Linked DNA regions of Nothobranchius furzeri. The protein of the gene in region 5 binds, or shares a complex with, the protein of the main gene of each other region. Links are inferred from orthologs where the notes say so. Each region holds a gene or a part of one and is shown on either strand. Other genes may lie near its edges.

What was found.
Region 1: mcm7 (region 5) and cdc45 share a complex: the UniProt entries of both Homo sapiens proteins name them as parts of the CMG helicase complex. The link is inferred for Nothobranchius furzeri from reciprocal best matches to the Homo sapiens genes MCM7 and CDC45.
Region 2: mcm7 (region 5) and gins4 share a complex: the UniProt entries of both Homo sapiens proteins name them as parts of the CMG helicase complex. The link is inferred for Nothobranchius furzeri from reciprocal best matches to the Homo sapiens genes MCM7 and GINS4.
Region 3: mcm7 (region 5) and gins1 share a complex: the UniProt entries of both Homo sapiens proteins name them as parts of the CMG helicase complex. The link is inferred for Nothobranchius furzeri from reciprocal best matches to the Homo sapiens genes MCM7 and GINS1.
Region 4: mcm7 (region 5) and protein downstream neighbor of son homolog share a complex: the UniProt entries of both Homo sapiens proteins name them as parts of the replisome complex. The link is inferred for Nothobranchius furzeri from reciprocal best matches to the Homo sapiens genes MCM7 and DONSON.

Annotation. Positions count from the first base shown.
Region 1 is NC_091757.1:55,442,726-55,446,241, forward strand, and holds part of cdc45 (cell division control protein 45 homolog), read left to right. Parts: intron 1-881; coding exon 882-974; intron 975-1,070; coding exon 1,071-1,208; intron 1,209-1,307; coding exon 1,308-1,454; intron 1,455-2,466; coding exon 2,467-2,525; intron 2,526-2,597; coding exon 2,598-2,646; intron 2,647-2,723; coding exon 2,724-2,785; intron 2,786-2,879; coding exon 2,880-2,930; intron 2,931-3,009; coding exon 3,010-3,129; intron 3,130-3,201; coding exon 3,202-3,333; intron 3,334-3,423; coding exon 3,424-3,516. UniProt on the Homo sapiens protein: Required for initiation of chromosomal DNA replication. Core component of CDC45-MCM-GINS (CMG) helicase, the molecular machine that unwinds template DNA during replication, and around which the replisome is built.
Region 2 is NC_091757.1:38,273,265-38,277,528, reverse strand, and holds the start of gins4 (DNA replication complex GINS protein SLD5), read right to left. Parts: upstream 2,804-4,264; 5' UTR 2,513-2,803; coding exon 2,417-2,512; intron 2,299-2,416; coding exon 2,212-2,298; intron 1,356-2,211; coding exon 1,242-1,355; intron 1,158-1,241; coding exon 1,060-1,157; intron 987-1,059; coding exon 898-986; intron 793-897; coding exon 702-792; intron 586-701; coding exon 489-585; 3' UTR 481-488; intron 218-480; 3' UTR 1-217. UniProt on the Homo sapiens protein: Required for correct functioning of the GINS complex, a complex that plays an essential role in the initiation of DNA replication, and progression of DNA replication forks.
Region 3 is NC_091752.1:47,394,740-47,398,441, reverse strand, and holds gins1 (DNA replication complex GINS protein PSF1), read right to left. Parts: upstream 2,472-3,702; 5' UTR 2,363-2,471; coding exon 2,288-2,362; exon of another isoform or gene 2,275-2,287; intron 2,069-2,274; coding exon 2,004-2,068; intron 1,673-2,003; coding exon 1,574-1,672; intron 1,499-1,573; coding exon 1,408-1,498; intron 1,264-1,407; coding exon 1,147-1,263; intron 1,077-1,146; coding exon 1,002-1,076; intron 662-1,001; coding exon 593-661; 3' UTR 503-592; downstream 1-502. UniProt on the Homo sapiens protein: Required for correct functioning of the GINS complex, a complex that plays an essential role in the initiation of DNA replication, and progression of DNA replication forks.
Region 4 is NC_091743.1:80,893,331-80,897,500, forward strand, and holds the start of protein downstream neighbor of son homolog, read right to left. Parts: upstream 2,803-4,170; 5' UTR 2,549-2,802; coding exon 2,198-2,548; intron 1,512-2,197; coding exon 1,443-1,511; intron 828-1,442; coding exon 627-827; intron 562-626; coding exon 377-561; intron 304-376; coding exon 228-303; intron 158-227; coding exon 55-157; intron 1-54. UniProt on the Homo sapiens protein: Replisome component that maintains genome stability by protecting stalled or damaged replication forks.
Region 5 is NC_091741.1:79,979,110-79,981,451, reverse strand, and holds the end of mcm7 (DNA replication licensing factor MCM7), read right to left. Parts: intron 1,740-2,342; coding exon 1,630-1,739; intron 1,267-1,629; coding exon 1,041-1,266; 3' UTR 507-1,040; downstream 1-506. Other genes in the region: and3 (actinodin3), read right to left, coding at 235-317. UniProt on the Homo sapiens protein: Acts as a component of the MCM2-7 complex (MCM complex) which is the replicative helicase essential for 'once per cell cycle' DNA replication initiation and elongation in eukaryotic cells.

The DNA.
Region 1 (3,516 bases), on a different chromosome or scaffold from region 5:
ATATTTTCTTCTTCTTCTTCTAAAACTGTCAGTGTTGTGCCGTCGTCAGGTAAAAACTCTGCACTATATTTGAATTTAAATCTGCCACCGCTATTGGCTAACAGGTAGGCTATGATGTAAACTGGTACATTATGATGTCACAATGCTGTCGTGAGCCTGTGTGTGTGTGTATTTGTTAGCGGCTCCGCCCTCTCAGTCTGCCAGGCAACAGCATTTGTTGCATTTTTCAAACAGGAAGCGGGAGTGGAGTTAGACTCTGGTAGGGGGTGACTTGCTCTTTAAACACAACTTATCAAATAAAGCAATTCAAAATTACTCAAACATCAACAATTATTACTTCTGTGCACCTGTAAATGCTACAAAATGTATTGAAAACAAGAAAAATAATACTTTAAATAAACATGTTAAATAAACTTTCTAGGTCATTCACAAAGTCACAGTGCCACCTTGTGGTGAAACCTTGAACAAAAAAGTTGCTTAAACTACCTTTACAGCTCGTATGATGAGTTAAAGGGAAAAAAAGAAGACAAAAATAGAAATAATACAGGAGGAAAGTGTAGGGTAAGTAAAATTCACAAAACAAGACACGATAAAATAACTACGTATGTTGTTGTGTATAAAGCGACTGGTGCATGGGTTGATTCAGGGTGGTGATTTTATTTATACATCTTGTGTGATGTATAAAGTCTGTCTTGGATCAAATGGACCTGTCGCGTGTGCCAGAGGGCAGGAGGTGGAACAGGTGGTGTGAGTCTTGTCCCTCTCAGGCCTGGTTTCTCTGTGTTCAACTAAAACCAAATTAAATACTAATCGACGTAATTTCCAGTTGCACGACTCCGCTTTGAACATTTTCAAAGCTTTCATGTTTGTGTTTTTATTAGGCGCTGTTTCATTGCGACCACATTCAGTACACCCTGGTGCCGGTGATCGGCTGGCAGGATCTCTCCACCGCCTTCCTTGAACACAAAGAGCAGGTCAATAACAACACACTTGAGTCTACTCGTGGATATGTACAACAGAAGGCTGATTAGGACAAAAACTGTGAAATAAATGTTTTGATTGTTTTGTAGTTTCGATACTTTGTTCTCATCAACTGCGGGGCGAATGTTGACCTCCTTGAGATGCTGCAGCCAGATGATGACTCCATCTTCTTCATCTGTGATACTCACCGTCCCGTGGACGTGGTTAATGTCTATAACGACACTCAGGTGATGTAGGATGATCAGGTTTTAGAGGACTAACCGCAAACTTTAATCCCCTCATATTGAACTTACTCCCTACTTAACCGTCATTCGTCCCCTCCACAGATTAAACTGCTAATCAAACAGGACGACGATCTGGGCGTGCCGTCGTACGACGACATCTTTCGAGACGACGAGGAGGAAGATGACGGCTCTGGAAACGACAGCGACGAAGGCTCAGAGCCGTCCGGAAAGCGGAGGAGGTTTGATGAAGTGAGGAGCATTAGCAGACGCTGCAGAAAGGATGCCAGAATTCAATTCAAAAATACTTTATTAATCCCAGAGGGAAATTGATTGAAGAAGAAGACAGCGAGGCTGACTTAGGCCTAGTCCACACGTAGCCGGTTTTTTTTTTAAAAACGAATATCTGCCCCTCCAAAAACTTGCATCCACACCACCTCGTTTAAAAAAAAACTGTCCACACGTACCCGGATAAATACGTTGTTAAGGACATGCCAGACCTGTAGGCGGCAGTACTTCCCCCGTTCTTAACCTCGTCCTTCGTCTGTGGTCTTCCGTAAGGAGCAGTAATTCTGCTTGCAAAAACAAACAAGCAGAAAGCGCTTGGACAATTGATAAAGCGAGCGCAGCTCTGAAGGCATCCATGCTGTCGGCTGGTGTAAACACAGGTCGCACACGTGATGTCAGCATTTTTGGTCGCGGAAAGTGACGTTGCGGACCTTAAAACTCCGGTTTTGTCCGTCCACACGCAGACACCCAAAACGGAGAAAACGCAGATCTTCACTTTGGCCGGAGTTTTTAAAAAGATCCGTTTTCGTGTGAAAAAACTCCGTTTTCTTGTGGATGACAGGCCAAAACGTAGAAAAATATCTACGTTTTGGCAGATCCCCGGCTACGTGTGGACAGGACCTAAGGCTTGTGGACATAGGACATATTGTGCTGAATTCACCTTTTGGAGCACTTTGTGCTGCCCTGTGGCTCTCTACTGCCTCTAAAAACACTCCACAGGTGAAAAAACATCTGTCCATTTTTTTTTCTGTAAGTATTTGGATTTAGGAATTATTTGCCTTAAGCAAGAAGTTTCAGAAAGTCCCCGTTTGTGACATCATAAACAGGGAAAACCCTGCATCACCTCTCTAGGCTAGAAGAGCAGCGACTCTAGGCCAAGCCCCTCCCAGCCAATCAGTGGATGGGTGGGCCTGGTCAGATCCCCGGCTACGTGTGGACAGGGCCTAATGCTTGTGTCGGGATTGTGTCGTGGCAGGGGGCGATTGAGAGGAGAATTGAAAGGCAGAGAGCGAGGAGGGAGTGGGAGGCACGGAGGTGAGATTTTGTCTGTTTTTATTGAACAGTGAGATATCTGTGATGTGTGTCTAACCTTTTGAAGTTTCTCAGGAGGGAAATCTTGTTCGACTATGAACAGTTCGAGTTCCACGGGACCTCTGTGAGTACACAACTCAGATCCTGAGCTTCAGCTGATATAAACTATACACAAACCCATCATCTGCCTTTGACTCTCAGGCTGCGATGATGTTTTTCGAGCTCGCCTGGGTTCTAACGAAAGACACCAAGGACATGCTCTGGTGAGCTTTCAAATTAAACATTTCTATAAACGACTTCCAGATCACAGAAATGCACGCGGCACCGTTCCGTTAAAATCCGTGTTTGCGTCTACAGGTGGGCCATCATCGGGCTGACGGACCAGCAGATTCACGACAAGATCACACAGTGAGGATTCGCTTTCTAAAGGTTTTCTGTAAATGTTTGCAACAAATGGCTCGTGGTTAGAGTTTTATTTCCTTTTCAGCATGAAATACGTAACAGATGTCGCAACGATGCAGCGGCATGTTTCCCGACATAACCACCGAAATGAGGACGAGGAGAACTCTTTATCCATCGACTGCATGAGGATCTCCTTTGAATACGAGTATCCTTTCTTTATCTTCTAACAGATCTTTGGGTTTTTTTCCGTTCTGTTTTTCTTAACCCCGTGATCCAGCCTGCGTCTCAGCCTCTACCAGCACTGGTCTCTGTATGAGAGCATCTGTAATTCTTGCTACACCTCCAGTAGCTTTAAGCTTTGGACTTTAAACGGCCAGAAGAAACTGCGAGAGTTCTTGGCTGATATGGGGTACGCATTTTCAAACCGGTGCTTCGTGTGTCAGCAGTAGAGAGACGGCAGCATCTGATGCTTCATTTCTTTTTGTGTTGTTGTTTACAGGTTACCTCTGAAACAAGTGAAACAAAAATATACATCCATGGACATGTCGATAAAGGAGAACCTAAGAGACGTCATTGAAGAGTCCTCTAATAA
Region 2 (4,264 bases), on a different chromosome or scaffold from region 5:
ATCCCTCCCCACGGTGTCATGAATGTTATCTACATTCAAATCACACAAGTTAGTCCTTTCTCCAGATGATAAAGAATCAGTTTGTGTTTCCCGGTTTTATCTGTGTGGTTTCAACAGACTAAACTGCCTTTTTTTCATTACAACTCCAGCAAAAACAAATATATACAAGTGCTGAAATGTAGGATCTCCTGGAGTAAAAAAACATCCTCAGCAACACCTGCAATGTAAAAATAAGTGTTAGTTGCATTTCGTTGCCCATTGTAATTACAGAACTGTCAATTTTAATCCACAGCCAACCTAAATACTGCAGTTTTCTTTGTTGCCAAGAGATAAAACAGTGGAGCTAAAAATAAATTCAGATTTCACAGCAAAGAGTTTGCTTATGTAACATCTGCAGAGTGGAATTAGCGGATGTCTATGCAAGAGAGGTCATGAATGAGTTAACGAGATGTGTTTTTTTTATAACGGATCTCAACTCACCCTGATTTTCAAATCAGCTGCACCGCTCCGTTTGACACCAGCGGCGCTACGGTGCGGTATCGCATCAAATGCTGCGAGCCCTCTTCCAGATCCACAATATATTCTCTGACAGAAGAGGTGTTATTTTTCAGTATTTATACCTTAAACATGTCACTAGGTGTACAACGACAACACTGCCACCTACTGGATACTGAATGAACAGCAACCATGAGGAGAACTACCTCTGATCGTCGGTTTCAGGCTCCACCAAAATATTTTCCTGTTTCTCCTTCACTCGCAGAAACACAAAGGAGTCCAAGCAAGGCTCGGGCACTGGAATTGGATCAATCACAGGATTTAGTGCATCAGCCCGTGTGTGTGTGTGTTGCAGTAAATGCCACAAATGGCAATTTCCAAGGAAGCAAATATAATGTTTACCTGCTTTGAGCAGATCTACAGTCTGTAAGTTGAGTGGCATTCGCTTCAGCGCTACAGCCTTTAGGTAGGTTTCTGTGTTGGTGTAATACCTGCACACAACATTAAAATTAGTTTTTATTATTAAAATCCTAAATCAAACAGTTGACGTCACTCTATGCTCACTCTTTAGCAAAAGCAAACTCCTCAGGAGAGAGCAGAGATGGCTGTCCTTCCACTCGAGACTTCTCCCTCTCCAGGACGTGAGGAAAGAACTTTTCAATCTGAACACAGACAGCGTGACAGATCAGTGCTTTTTTTAAAGGTAAAAGAGAAACCGCGTAGATCTTTACGTTACTTCGACTGACTTTTTGCAGACGAGAGCGCAGGTAGCTGCTGAGGACAAAGCGGATCCTGTCTATTTCCATTCGGTGGAAGCTGGCTTTGGCATCACCTTTCTTTACCCGTTGCAGGTTTGATTCCTGTTTGGGGAAATGCCACAAAAAATAAATAAAAATTTATTTTAAAAAAAACACTACAAATAACACAGATCTGGAATATTAAAGAGCCACAGTAATCTAATGTCAGGATTCCAGTAGATAAATATCCTGATAGAAGAGAAATAAAAGCAAAAATTTCACCTTGAGCTCTTAGAAGACACAATTTTACACACCCTGGGGTCAAAATTCACTTGTAAGTCGCTTTGGACAAAAGCGTCTGCTAAATACATAAACATAAACATAAATATAAAGGTCAACTCTGAAAATAATCTACTTGTATTAGTTTATTATGTAAAATGTAATCACTGCATTAGTAAAGCATCTCCTTTAAAGTCTAGAGTAAAGCAGAAACAGGAGCTAATGATCAAAACGCTTCGTTTTTTTTTTACCACAATAAGAGAACATAAAGTATTGTTCCCACGCCTGCTTCAACAAACACTTTGAGGTTGTTTCTAGTAATTAGTCAAACACAAATCTGTTTTTCACACAGGATAATCTGACATAATATTTGTTATCGGCAAGCATTTAAATCATCACTTCACTAATCTAATGAATAGTCAAAGCAGTTTAATGTAATTAAAGGCAGAATCAGCATCAATTATTTAAATATAAATCTTTATTTTGATGCTTGTCTTATTGATTAATTTGGTATAACTAATAGAAACTAATCTAAATAAATGTTAAATATGATGTTAGTTTAGTTTCGTGTGTTTATTTTCTCCGGTATGCTCTGCTGTCTACAGCGTTTCCACTAAACAGCCAGCACTTGTTGAACATGAAACTAGAGAGTGATTGTGTGTGTTACAGAGAATCTGAGAGGTATTCCCCAGGTAGTTACCATATGAGTCAGCTGCTCCATCACACACTCCACCACCTCGGACTTGTTCTCCAGCAGCTCTGGGGAGAACTTCTCGTTCAGCCAAGCCTGCGGGTCACAAACACACCTGTAAGGCACAGCTGGCACAACATTAAAGCCAGGAAACAGCAGACCCAAAGACCCACAGTTCGACTTAAAACGTGATAAATCAAATAAAAAGACTCACTTCTTCTAGTTTAGCTATCAGCTCCGCCGGAGTCATGACATCCTGGCTGTCATCTTGGTTGATGTCGCTGCCGTCATCCGACAACGCGTCCGACATGCTTTCACTTTATAAGGTACGCTAATTAAATACTGCTGTTTTAGAAACGATATTGTTTTGGCTTCAAATAACAAAATGGGAAACTTAAATAAAAGTAATAAAACGAGTTTAGCTACACAGTCGTCCCTGAAGCTTCTGCGGTGCAAAATGCTCTTGTTTATTCGCGCCACTGGCGTTCTCGCGAGAGTTGTATTTTGTTCAAAAACCCCGAATTTTGACTGTAAGGCCAAGTCTTTCCCGCAGCCACAAAGATCAATAAAATACAAAAAAATGTAAATAGAAAAAGGCAGTATTTTTGAGATAAGAGAATGTTTTCTTATTTACTCTAAAGTGATTACTCACGTAATATTAGTCAGGTCATTCTGACCTGTCCGAAATGCATAACGAAGGGTAAAAAAATAACAACGCAGGGTTCTCTGGATTTCCTGCAAATAAAATAAAATGTTTTTGAACAAGCTTTTATTATAATAAGGAATTATAATAACATAACAACATTAATAATAGTAACATCAACAACAGTTAATAATAATAATAATAATAATAATAATAATAATAATAATAATAATAATAATAATAATAATAATAATAATAATGTTATTTGTATGGTAATTGTGTTTCATTTTTGATGTTGACTAAATAACATGAAAATAAATATTAAGTGGTCATTCATTACCATAATGAATTAAAATATTTGTTATTTTAATAACATGAAATTGGTAAAAAGCCATTTAAAAAATATGTACCGAGGTTTGCATGTTTTATAAAGCAGTATGTCAGATTTCCCATTCATTTAACAATGTCCAATGTTTATATACAACATTTAGTCTAAAGACATATCTACTTGAATATTGTTTACTATCTGTAGTACCTCATATTCATAGAATGAATATTCAAAATTCTGTCCTCCTCCTACCAGGGCTCAAATATCTCAAAACTATGATTACTGAACTTCCACTAGGTCACCCACGGTCTCTCTCACACACACATGCACACACACACATACATTTTTCAACATACCATCTCTTAGTCAGTCTTGCCCTGCATTTGAAATAAGTTCCATCATCTGCTTGACTTGTTGCATCTGTTTCCAGATAACAGTGGCCTGAGGGCTAATCTCATTTGTATGATTTCCTCTTTCTATTTCCTCCTTATTGCTCTCAGAGCATTTGTTCTACTGATGATTTTGCATTTGCCATGCAAACCTGTTGTTATAGTAGGCCTACTGACAATGAGCACCACTGACCACAGCTGGCACCCATAACTCTGTTCTAAATGAAACCTGCAGGGTCAAAACTGTGCAGATGGAGGATTGTTTTACACTGAAAAGTTTTTATTGCACAGATTTTTGATTGCATTTGTCATTTTTATTTAAATACATTAAAAACAATAACATTTGCAATAACTGTTTCTAGAAACTGTAACACTGGTATTAGATACATAAAGCATTTGTCACTGCATACATTTTTACAGATTTTACCATACAGTACTCAATGGGGGGTAAAAAACAGAATAAAGACAAGTGCAATGGAAGATGAGTGATGTATAACTGATGTTTTGACAAAATGGGATAATGTGAAATAACACCACAGTATGAATATACATCCATCCATCTAAATGTTTGCAATAGTGTAACTGCAAGAGAAATTATGCATAGTTGTTTTTTAAATAATGCACCAACAACAATCCTCTTTAACCATCACTACACCACCTTTATTTATTTTTGAATATTCTCATCATATAGTGAGCAGTGCT
Region 3 (3,702 bases), on a different chromosome or scaffold from region 5:
TTAGGCACCGATTATTCAAACATCAACATTATTATACATATAACATTTGTTCATTCAACCATATTATTTTTTAACTTACGAGTTGTAAAAGTTATTTCATGAGAGTGAGCAATCCTGTGGTCTTATCAAAAGAAGGCTTTGTTTGGGAACATAGGCTGGCATCTTGTTCCCCCTGAATGTCAACAAGGGCTTCAGAATCTTCTGGGCTTTAGAAGGCAGGATAGAAACTCCACTCAGATAGTGGAATTAGGTCTGTAGGTGACCGGACATTGTGTCGGTCAATATGTAGGTGAAAACTGACCATTTCTGGACGTTACAGCAGGCAGCATCAGTGTGTTTGCTGCTCTATTTCTCACCTGTTCAGGTGCAACACACCAAAGCTCACCTGTGGACCAAAGTGTGACTCATTATGTTTTTATCAGCTGCTTGTCATCTTTCTATGGCACCTGACACGTGAGTTTCTTCACTTCCAGGACCACAGAGACACAACAGAGGCCACAGAATGGGTACAACACTTTTATTTGTTGTGACCACACACACACACACACACACACACACACACACACACACACACACACACAATCTTCTCTCGTCACGACACCACGTGCTCCAAGACGCCCTGGCGAATCAGCTGCTCACATTTCCACCGAGGCAGGAAGTGCTGAGAACACAAACACAACTTCCTGTGAGCTGCTGCGTTCTAAGGCTTCACGTCACATGCACACACGCACACACACACACGGGCCACAGGATTCATCTCCTGGGAATAATGTGAGTGTGGGTCCATCCCAGATCCACAGCTGCTTCCTCTACATGTCAACACACACCTGTATGCTCCAGAGAGCTCCTGCTGCTGGTGATCAGGTAATCAATACACCTGATCCTGAGCTTCCTGTTGAGGCTGTGAGGACGGTCTGGTTCTGATGTCATGCTGTCGGCCCAATCGTGTGTGTGTGTGTGTGTGTGAGTGAGTGTTCATCCAAACTGCATCCTATTCTGACCTGGCTGTTCTTCTTCAGCAAGATCACCGTTCCATCCTCGATCTCAAACTCTCCATGGTCCTTAAGACACCTCACCTGGAAACAAACATGACATCAGCATGATGAGGACAGACCGTAGGTCAGAGGTCAGGCAGGTGTGACTCACCTGGATGTAGAGACTCTTTGGAGGCTTGATGTCCTGTGTGATGTCAAGCCCCTCCCCCTCACCAAGGGAACGCATGAAGGAAGCAAGAGACTTTTTATACTGACCAAACCACTGCACCTGAAAGCAACACACACACACACACTGAGCTGTTCTAATACAACACTGACACTTTCAAAATAAAAGTTTCAAGGAATTGAAAAGTTTGCTTTCTATGTGAAGCAGCAACAGGAAGTCTAAAACAGGAGGTGATGTCACACCGACCTCCTCTGCAGACATGTGGAAGCGAACGTTGGCGGGTAGAACGCTGCCGTACTCCCATCTCAGCGCTCTGATCCTCAGCAGGCGGTCGTACCTGTAAACAACAAACGGTAAAAAAAACCGTAGTGACTGCAGGTGAGGCTGGTCACATGACTGTGGGCGGAGTTACAGGTAGGCAGTGATGCAGCGCTGGTTCCTCAGCAGGCAGCAGTGACGCAGTTTGATGGAGGGGATGAGGTCTGAGCGCCCGAAGGACTTGGCCTCGTTCCTGAAACAGAAGATCAGCTGACTTACTGTAAGGTCACATACGGGTCATCTGGACTCAGGCCAGTCCAGAACCAGTATCTGACCTCTGGACCCCTCATCCTTCATGCATGAAAAGGCTCTTGAACCAGTTTGACCTTTTCTCTACAGGTGATGTGGGGTCAGAGGTCAGGTCAAACAGGAGAGGCCTCAGTATATGAGGAGGGTTTCTGTAGATAAACAAAACCAGAACCCGAACTCTGTGGTTGAAGCCGCATCTTTTTGATCTTTTACAGTTTAGTAGCGTTCAGATGTCGGTCCACCGAACCCTAGAACCAGAAGCAGCCTGAACTCACACGTCAGCTTGGTTCTGTTCGTACAGAGCCTCCATCTCCTGTAGAACCTGGCGCAGCCCGTCCTCCTGAAACAGAGCCAGCATGTGGGTTCTGGTTTAAGGAACAGTAGAACAGCATGCTACCGGGTTAAATCAGAGCCGAACTGTAGCCGGTGTTCCGTTTAAGCTATCCTTTGGTCTACTGGTTCTTAAGACTTCTGCTTCTGTTGGCAACATCTGAACAACCTTAAACCAGCTTGGCTGTACACGGAGTCAGCTGCTGCGACCGTTACCCGCGTTCCTCACGTTGAAAGCGGGCAGCTGTCCGTCGCTCATCCGGTGCAGCTCCCGGATCATCTCCATGGCCTTCTCGCAGAACATCCCGAACTCTCGATCAGAAAACTTATCCGTTTCTCCTCCGTGAAGACCGAACGGTGTTGGCGGGAAAAGCTTTGTTGATCACGTGACCCGGTGACGTAGATCCGTTGTCGGTACCAGATCGGCTCCGGCATAGATATGTATGTATAAACACTAGATGCCTCGTCCCCACTGTTCGTCAATGGGATGCGACGTAGGAACGTGGCGGCCATCTTACCTCAGACCGCTGCCCCCCTTTCTCAAGCAACTCTAACTTGCTCAATTTTCAACCGATTTTCAAAAGGCTTAATTTGTTATAAACGCCAAAGATGTGTCTATGAAATAAGATGGGTTTGGCCGAGAAATTCCTGTTATTTCACTCCACAAAGCATTTAATCTTTCATTAACACATTTAATTGTAAGCTACAGTAATTAGTTAGATTTTCTCCTCCTTGAACCGTCACCTTATCGTGGTGGAGGAGTTTGAGTGCCCTAATGATCCTAGGAGCTATGTTGTCTGGGGCACTTAGTGCCCCTGGTAGGGTCTCCCATGACAAATTGGTCTTAGGTGAAGGGTGAGACAAAGAACGGTTCGAAGGATCTTTCATGGCGGTTAAAACGAAGAGTCGGAGTACCCGGCCCGGAGGGTTACCGGGGTCCCACCCTGGAGCCAGGCCTGGGGTTGGGGCCCGTGAGCGAGCGCCTGGTGGCCGGGCTTTCGCCCATGGGGCCCGGCCGGGCCCAGCCCGAACCGGATACATGGGCTCGTCCAACTGTGGACCCACCACCCGCAGGAGGAACATGAAGGGTCCGGTGCAATGCGAATCGGGTGGCAGACCAAGGCGGGAGCCTTGGCGGTCCAATCCCCGGACAAGAAAACTAGTTTTTGGGACATGGAACGTCACCTCGCTGGCGGGGAAGGAGCCGGAGCTTGTGGCAGAGGTTGAGTGGTACCGGCTAGATATAGTCGAACTCACCTCGACACATTGCATTGGCTCTGGGACCCGAGACCTGGAGAGGGGTTGGACACTCTACTTTGCTGGAGTTGCTCCGGGTGAGAGGCGGAGGGCTGGGGTTGGCTTTTTGTTAGCCCAGAGACTCTCTGCCTGTGTGTTGGGGTTTACCCCGGGGGACAAGAGGGTAGCTTCCTTGCGCCTTCGGGTCGGAGAACGGGTCCTGACTGTTGTTTGTGCTTATGGGCCAAATATCAGTTCAGAGTACCCACCCTTTTTGGAGTCCCTGGGACGAGTGCTAGATAGTGCTCCATCAGGGGACTCCATTGTCCTGCTGGGGGACTTCAATGCTCACGTGGGCAATGACAGCTTGACCTGGAGGGGTGTGATTGGGAGGAACGGCCCACCTAA
Region 4 (4,170 bases), on a different chromosome or scaffold from region 5:
AATTTAAGACTTTTTAAGGACCCGCGGATACCCTGTGTTAACCAGAAACTTTACCTTCAGACTTCATAGCTTCTCTGAGGCCACGAGTCGTCGGAGAGACCAGAGCAGTGATGCAGCCCGACCCGCTGAGACCCGCCGCCCTGAACAGAACCGTTAGCTATCGGACAGCAGAGGACATTAGAGACAGGTGGCTTACTGAGGAGAGCTCTCAGTGGACACAAACACACCTGATAGGAGCAGACATAGAAGTATGGACACAGTCCAGACTTTAAAAGGCTGTAGAGAGACGACAGGCTGATGGACCTGAAATGAGAAGAACAGAAAATCCTCATGATCAAAGTTGTAATCTCCTTCCTGCTGAGGAACAGATGCTCACCAGTCCCTCATCAGGCTCTGCTGCAGAGCTGCATCGTGAGCCCAGGGCGAGCTCCTCCCCGAGAAGTTCCTCTCCGCGTTGATCCGGGGGAAGAGAGAGAGCCAGGGCAGGGAGGGGTGCTGCCAGTACACCAAACACTGCTGGAAGGCACAGCGGAGCTCTGAGCAGAACTGGGGATCCTGCCACTGGCAGATGGGGTGCTGCGTTAGTCAAGAGACGTGTGTGTGTGTGAGTGGCTGACAGAACCTACCTGTGCGTGTTGTGGCAGAGAGCTAAACTGGGCTCTGCAGCTGCGGCTCAGGCCTAAAGCTTCTTCCTGGGCTTTGGGCTGCTCGGCCCATGAGAGGGAGTGGGGGGAGGTGAAGAGCAGCCGGGTCTTCAAGCTCCAGTCTGTCGGGTACCGAGTGCAGCTGGGAGGAGCAATGGAGGAGGAGGCGATGGTGCGGGGGCTCTGGAGAACACACAGGAAGGACACATTAATCAGGGATGAGCCTCACCTCATCTGGGTCTTTTTCATGGACCCGTTTCTGACTGGTGGCTCAACGGGGTTTACGTCGGCCATGTTGGGTGGGGAAACAGGAAGGGACTACTTTCATCAGGAAGGTGAAGGGAGAATAAAAACGTTATGTAATATCAACACATTCCCACTATGTAGTCTGCGTGTCTAAAGTGTTTAATGGTTCATCTCTACTTTGCATTTGTTTATGGTCAAATAAATGGCCTGTATTTGATATAGCACCTTCTAGAGTTCTGGAACCCCCCAAGGCGCTTTACAACACAATCAGTCATTCACCCATTCACACACACATTCACACACTGGTGGGGATGAGCTACAATGTAGCCACAGCTGCCCTGGGGCGCACTGACAGAGGCGAGTCTGCCGAGCACTGGCGCCACCGGTCCCTCCGACCACCACCAGCAGGAAACGTGGGTTAAGTGTCTTGCCCAAGGACACGATGACAGCGACAGACTGAGCGGGGCACGAACCCGCAACCTTCCGATTACGGGGCGAGCTCTTAACTCCTGTGCCACCGTCGCCCACGCACCACATTTATTATAAACCTACCTTGAGCAGTGGACTCAGAACTTGTTCGTCCTCTGGTCCAGACAGAGAGTCGTCCTCAGAGAGACATTTCTGCAGCAGAAAAACAAACACTGAATAAAAACAGCTGATCATCCTGCTTTTGTTGGTTTGATGGGGATTCAGCAGCTCAGGGTTGGGTTCTGATGAGGAGCTGTCCCGGTGATCGAACTACAGCATTTCATTCATTGGTTCATCGAGAAGCTATTTTCTCCCACTGCTACATGTTTTATCCGTTTACGGTTTAAACGTGGCTGCACTGTGGTGCAGCACTGCTGCTGCACATCGGGATGGTTGCAGGTTCAAATCCTGACTGTAGCTTTACTGAGTGGTGTTAGCGTGCTCTGGTTTAATCCCACACACATCAAACTGAATTGTCCCTGGTGAGTTTGTGACTGGCTGTGTCTCCATCATGAACTGGAGACATGTCCAGGTGTCTCCCATCTCTTGCTCAATGACTGCTAGAGTTGGACACCAGCAAATCCGAGTTTATGGAAGTAAATGAGGATGCTGGATGGATGTAGTTGTCCTCCCACCTCCTTCAGAGCAGATCTGTGGAGCTCATACTCAGGTTTTGGACCACATGTGACAGCAACCTGGGCTGGATCACCTGTCTGCATCACTAACCTAAATACCCCAATAATAATAATACGTCGTTAACACCAGCTGTCTGTAGAACCTGACATGAATCCAGGTGTGACTTGTCCAGGTCTACCAGGAGGGTCGTCGCCTCCTCCTACCTGAGTGGAGCAGCCGCTGACCGCTGCCGACGTCTTCTCTTCCGCCTCCTTCTCCTGCTTTACTTTCTTCCGAGTCTGGACATATCCGCCATCTTCGTCGCAGACCACGGGGACGGAGGTGTTTTCACGGTTAGCAAACGGGTTTCTCCGTTTAACGTCGTTTCTAGAACAGCTCTGCTCATTGAGGAGCGGTTCTGGGGAGGAGATTCGACCGCATAACGAACTGCTCGGTCCGGAACTCAAAACCACCTCACTGCTCGATAAAACCGTGCTTCGAGCTCTTTTTCTCCTCAGACGAATGATTTCTGCCGGCCGCTTGAAGCTCGGTGAGTACCCTGTCTCCTGGGCCATGCGGAAGCGCTACAGCTAGCTGAGCTAAGAGAGAAATAAGGCTGAACACTGTGTTTGTTTACACTGCAGTCTGGCCGCTCCAAATTTCGCGCGCAGCTTCTTCTTTGGTGTCATTGTTTTCTTCTTCTTCGTGTGTTTACTGGCAGATGGTAACATCGTTCTGGTGCGCCAGCGCTGCCTGCTGGGTAGGAGGGCGGTCAGTGCAGCCAACCAAAGCTAAAAGTAGATTCTGGTCTTGCCCTGCTGCCATGGTCCGAGGTGAGTCACCCTCCTCACAGCTCTGTGTTTCACCATGGAACAGAACGTTAAAACACAGACAATTAAAAATGTAACTCCCAAAACAAAAAATAACATCTCCAATTACACACAGACATTACCTGATAAGCTTGTGATTGGTGTCAATGTGCACCATATACTTTGGGCAAGGAACTGTGTGTACGTCCTTCTCACTACACATCCCAGATGTGTCATTCGAGCAAGTACAACCGCACTGTCCACACGATGCATGGATGCATACAGTCGGTCCCACTGTACTCTATGTCCCTGGGCAAGTAGAGCACCTCGGACTACCCTGTACCCAGCATCTGGCATGTTGCTCTTAATTACTGTGATAAAATGATGTAGTTCCTCATCACTGCATTTACTGTATGTGGCAGATACAAATATATAAATAAATATATTATTTTCAGACATCCGTCTAAATAGAGTTGCTCTGGATACACCAAGGAGTTTGGTAATGACACTTGTTGGCAGACCCATTTCCACAAGGTGTTTGAGAGCCTCTCGCGACACCGCCAATCGTTGACGGCCACGAGAACCTCTTTCAACGTGTACTTTTATTAATGTCTTTTGATTATCTCTTTCCTTCTGGATAATAGTATTCAGATCGGAAAGAGCAGAAAGTATATCCTCTCCCTCCCACATCAACAATGTCACCTAGAGCACCTAATAAAACTAAATAATGGTGACAAGCAAACTGTAGCCCTTCCCCATCAACAGGTTGCCTCTCCAAGATGCTTGACAGTCGATCGTAAAACCTCTGAAGGATGTCACGCCTCAATGATTCCTAGAGGAAAAAACAAAAACAAAAACAGAACAAACATGAATTGGATTACTGTTGGGTAATAGAAATAAAATAACAACTTCCAAATATCTTATGGCACTTTTATTTTTTAACACTCCAGCTATGATAGTTTTAATAAAAAAACATTTTTAAATTATGGTGGAAAGTTAAATATTTATTTTTAATGACTGGAATTTTAGATTTGTCATGTAGGATAACGTTTTCGTTTTTCATCTTTGTACATTCATGCTAGCGTTAGCATCTGAACTGGAGGCTCTTTAGTGAGATATTTCATTAATAACTATTAATTGTGCATCAGTGCCACTGCTGGGCTCTCTATCAGGCGTACAGTGGTTGGCGGACATTCTTTTTGGGCCAACAGTACCGACCATCAACATATATACTGGACAATTCATTTCCATAGGCTCCAATAACACATTTTTGTGCCAAAATGGGAGGTGGCCACCACCGCCATTTTGACCGTGTCACAGGTACCGTCAAGCCCAGACAATTCCACAAAAGGCAAGAGAGGTGGAGCTGAGGGTGGGGCTGTAAGGCT
Region 5 (2,342 bases):
ACCACCAAACCAGATGTTCAGACACTTCTGTCCTAAAATAAAATGTTTTATTTTATTTTAATTACCTTAAAAGACTCAAAGTCTCTTTTTACACTTTATATTTATTTAATCAGGATCGTTGTCAAGTCGACGCCAGAAACAATGAAACACAACTTGAATATCAGATGAACAACAAGGCTTTATTTAACCGGCATTCATACAAGTTATCAATCATGAACGAAACATTTCTCTTACCGTTGCTTATGGGTGGAGAGCTGAACACCCCAGTTAGAAAACGTAATCCATGATAGGTGAAGAACTGAACACATGTAATCCATGAACCTCGTCAGGTAGAATCCTTCAAGCAGCTCTAACCCCCTGAGCTCTGCTCTGCTCCTTATACATTCCCTGATGTGCGTGCAAAGCTGCACACCTCCACCATGATTACCCTTGATTACATCCTCATGATAAGTGTGATTGACAAACAGTAGTGATCAATAACTTATATAAAGCAATTATACAACAGATGACAAGTTCATTTTTATTACAACTTCTCATGACACCAGGAGCCAAACTGACAGTGATGTTTATTACTGAAGCATTTATTATAACTAATACAAGGTTCAACATCAACATCTCATTACAAACACAATGTACAAGAACTCTCACTGATAAACTGATGCTTTACCCCACTGAACTGCAGATTAACCTTCCCACTGTCCTAATGGGTGTGACCCCGCGAAGAAAGTTGACCATTAAGCAGGGTTGATGGTTTATCCCTTGGGTCCATGTGGCAGGGGTGAGGTGGTGCTCAGTCCTCACCCCTGCCACGTGGACCTCACACCCATTAGGACAGTGGGAGGGTTACACAATGATGTGCTCTGACAAATATTTACAAGAAATCCATTAATTAACAGGAAACCAGTCAGGAACAGGATTTTTCATCATGTCCAGGTATTGAGAGGAAGTCTGCGTTCTGCCCAACTTGGGTTACAAAAGACATGATGCAGAAATAAAGAGAGCTCTAGTCGATGGCTGGGGCGAAGCGTGTCCAGGTGTGTTCATACGAAGGTGATGCGGCTGCGGGCCTGGTTGATCTGCCACACATTTAACTCCTCATACTCCTCCAGAGCCTCCTGGAACTGAGCGGGCGTGAAGCCACGAGAGATGCAACGCTGCTCAGCTTCAGACATGCGAACCACACCGCCTGCCCCGCCACGGCCGATCGTGCCCTCAGTGGCGAGCTCCCGCACCAGAGAGAAGATGACATCAGCTGGACGCTGCGCCCTGCAAGGGAGGAGGTCAGAATCAGGACAAACCAATCAGACGCTGATTAGAGGCATTAGGAACCAAACTGCCAAGAAAAGTTTGTTTTCCAAATAAAAAAAAACAGAAGAGTTTTGTGCATGGAAGGCCTGCTGCTTGAAGCACCAACTAATGACCAAAGTGAACATGCTGCCGTGTGAACCAAGCTCTATAAAACACCAGTCATGTTTTACAGCTTCCTGCAGAGCAGCTACTGCATATTCAGCAAACACAAGAAACCCATAAAAGGGAATTCTGGGTTTAACATCCGGTTCCCTCGTGTTAGGCTCAGGGTGCCTAGATGACCCCCCCCCCACACACACACACACACACACACACACTAACCTGGTGGTGCTGGATTTGTCAGCCTGCAGCGAGTCCTTCGACATCTCCATCAGCCGCATAGCCTCGTTCACATCCTCCTTCTCCACAGTGTCCATCATGCGAAGCCGGGCCTGATGGCAGGCATGGACAAAGTGTGGTGATGATGGCAGTTGTACATAAACACACACAAATATCCGACTGGAGTCATGTAAGAAGGTAGGCTGCGATGTGCCGGCACTGTCAGACCGAGACAAGTGCAATGCCCTCTGGAATGGCCGGCAATTGCTCAAGTCTCCGCCTCTCAAAACCAGCTAGTCTCTCCACAGGTTAAAAACTAAACCACACGAGATGAATGAGTCTTTTCAATCTACTCTACATGTAGAAGCTTGTGTTGACAGTTCTCGTCATAGTCAGTTTTGCATGGGTTTGCACAGCTGGTCCTAATGCACACAGGCTGACTGCCCACCCTGCAAAGCTGACCAGGATTAGAAACAATCAATCCCACTTGTACATTTCTTTGTATCAAACAGAACATGAATACTAAACTGAAGAGCAGCTGTGATCGTGCGACATCCCTGCTGCTGAGAGTGCCCCCTTGTGGACGGTGGTGTGCAGCACATTGCCTGCTTGTTTACCTGAAGTGCTGGTTTTGCAGTAGGTGGATGACTGCTACCTGCACAAACAGCACTTTTGACAACCAGAGGCAGAGACACCCCCCCCCCCCCCCCCCGTTA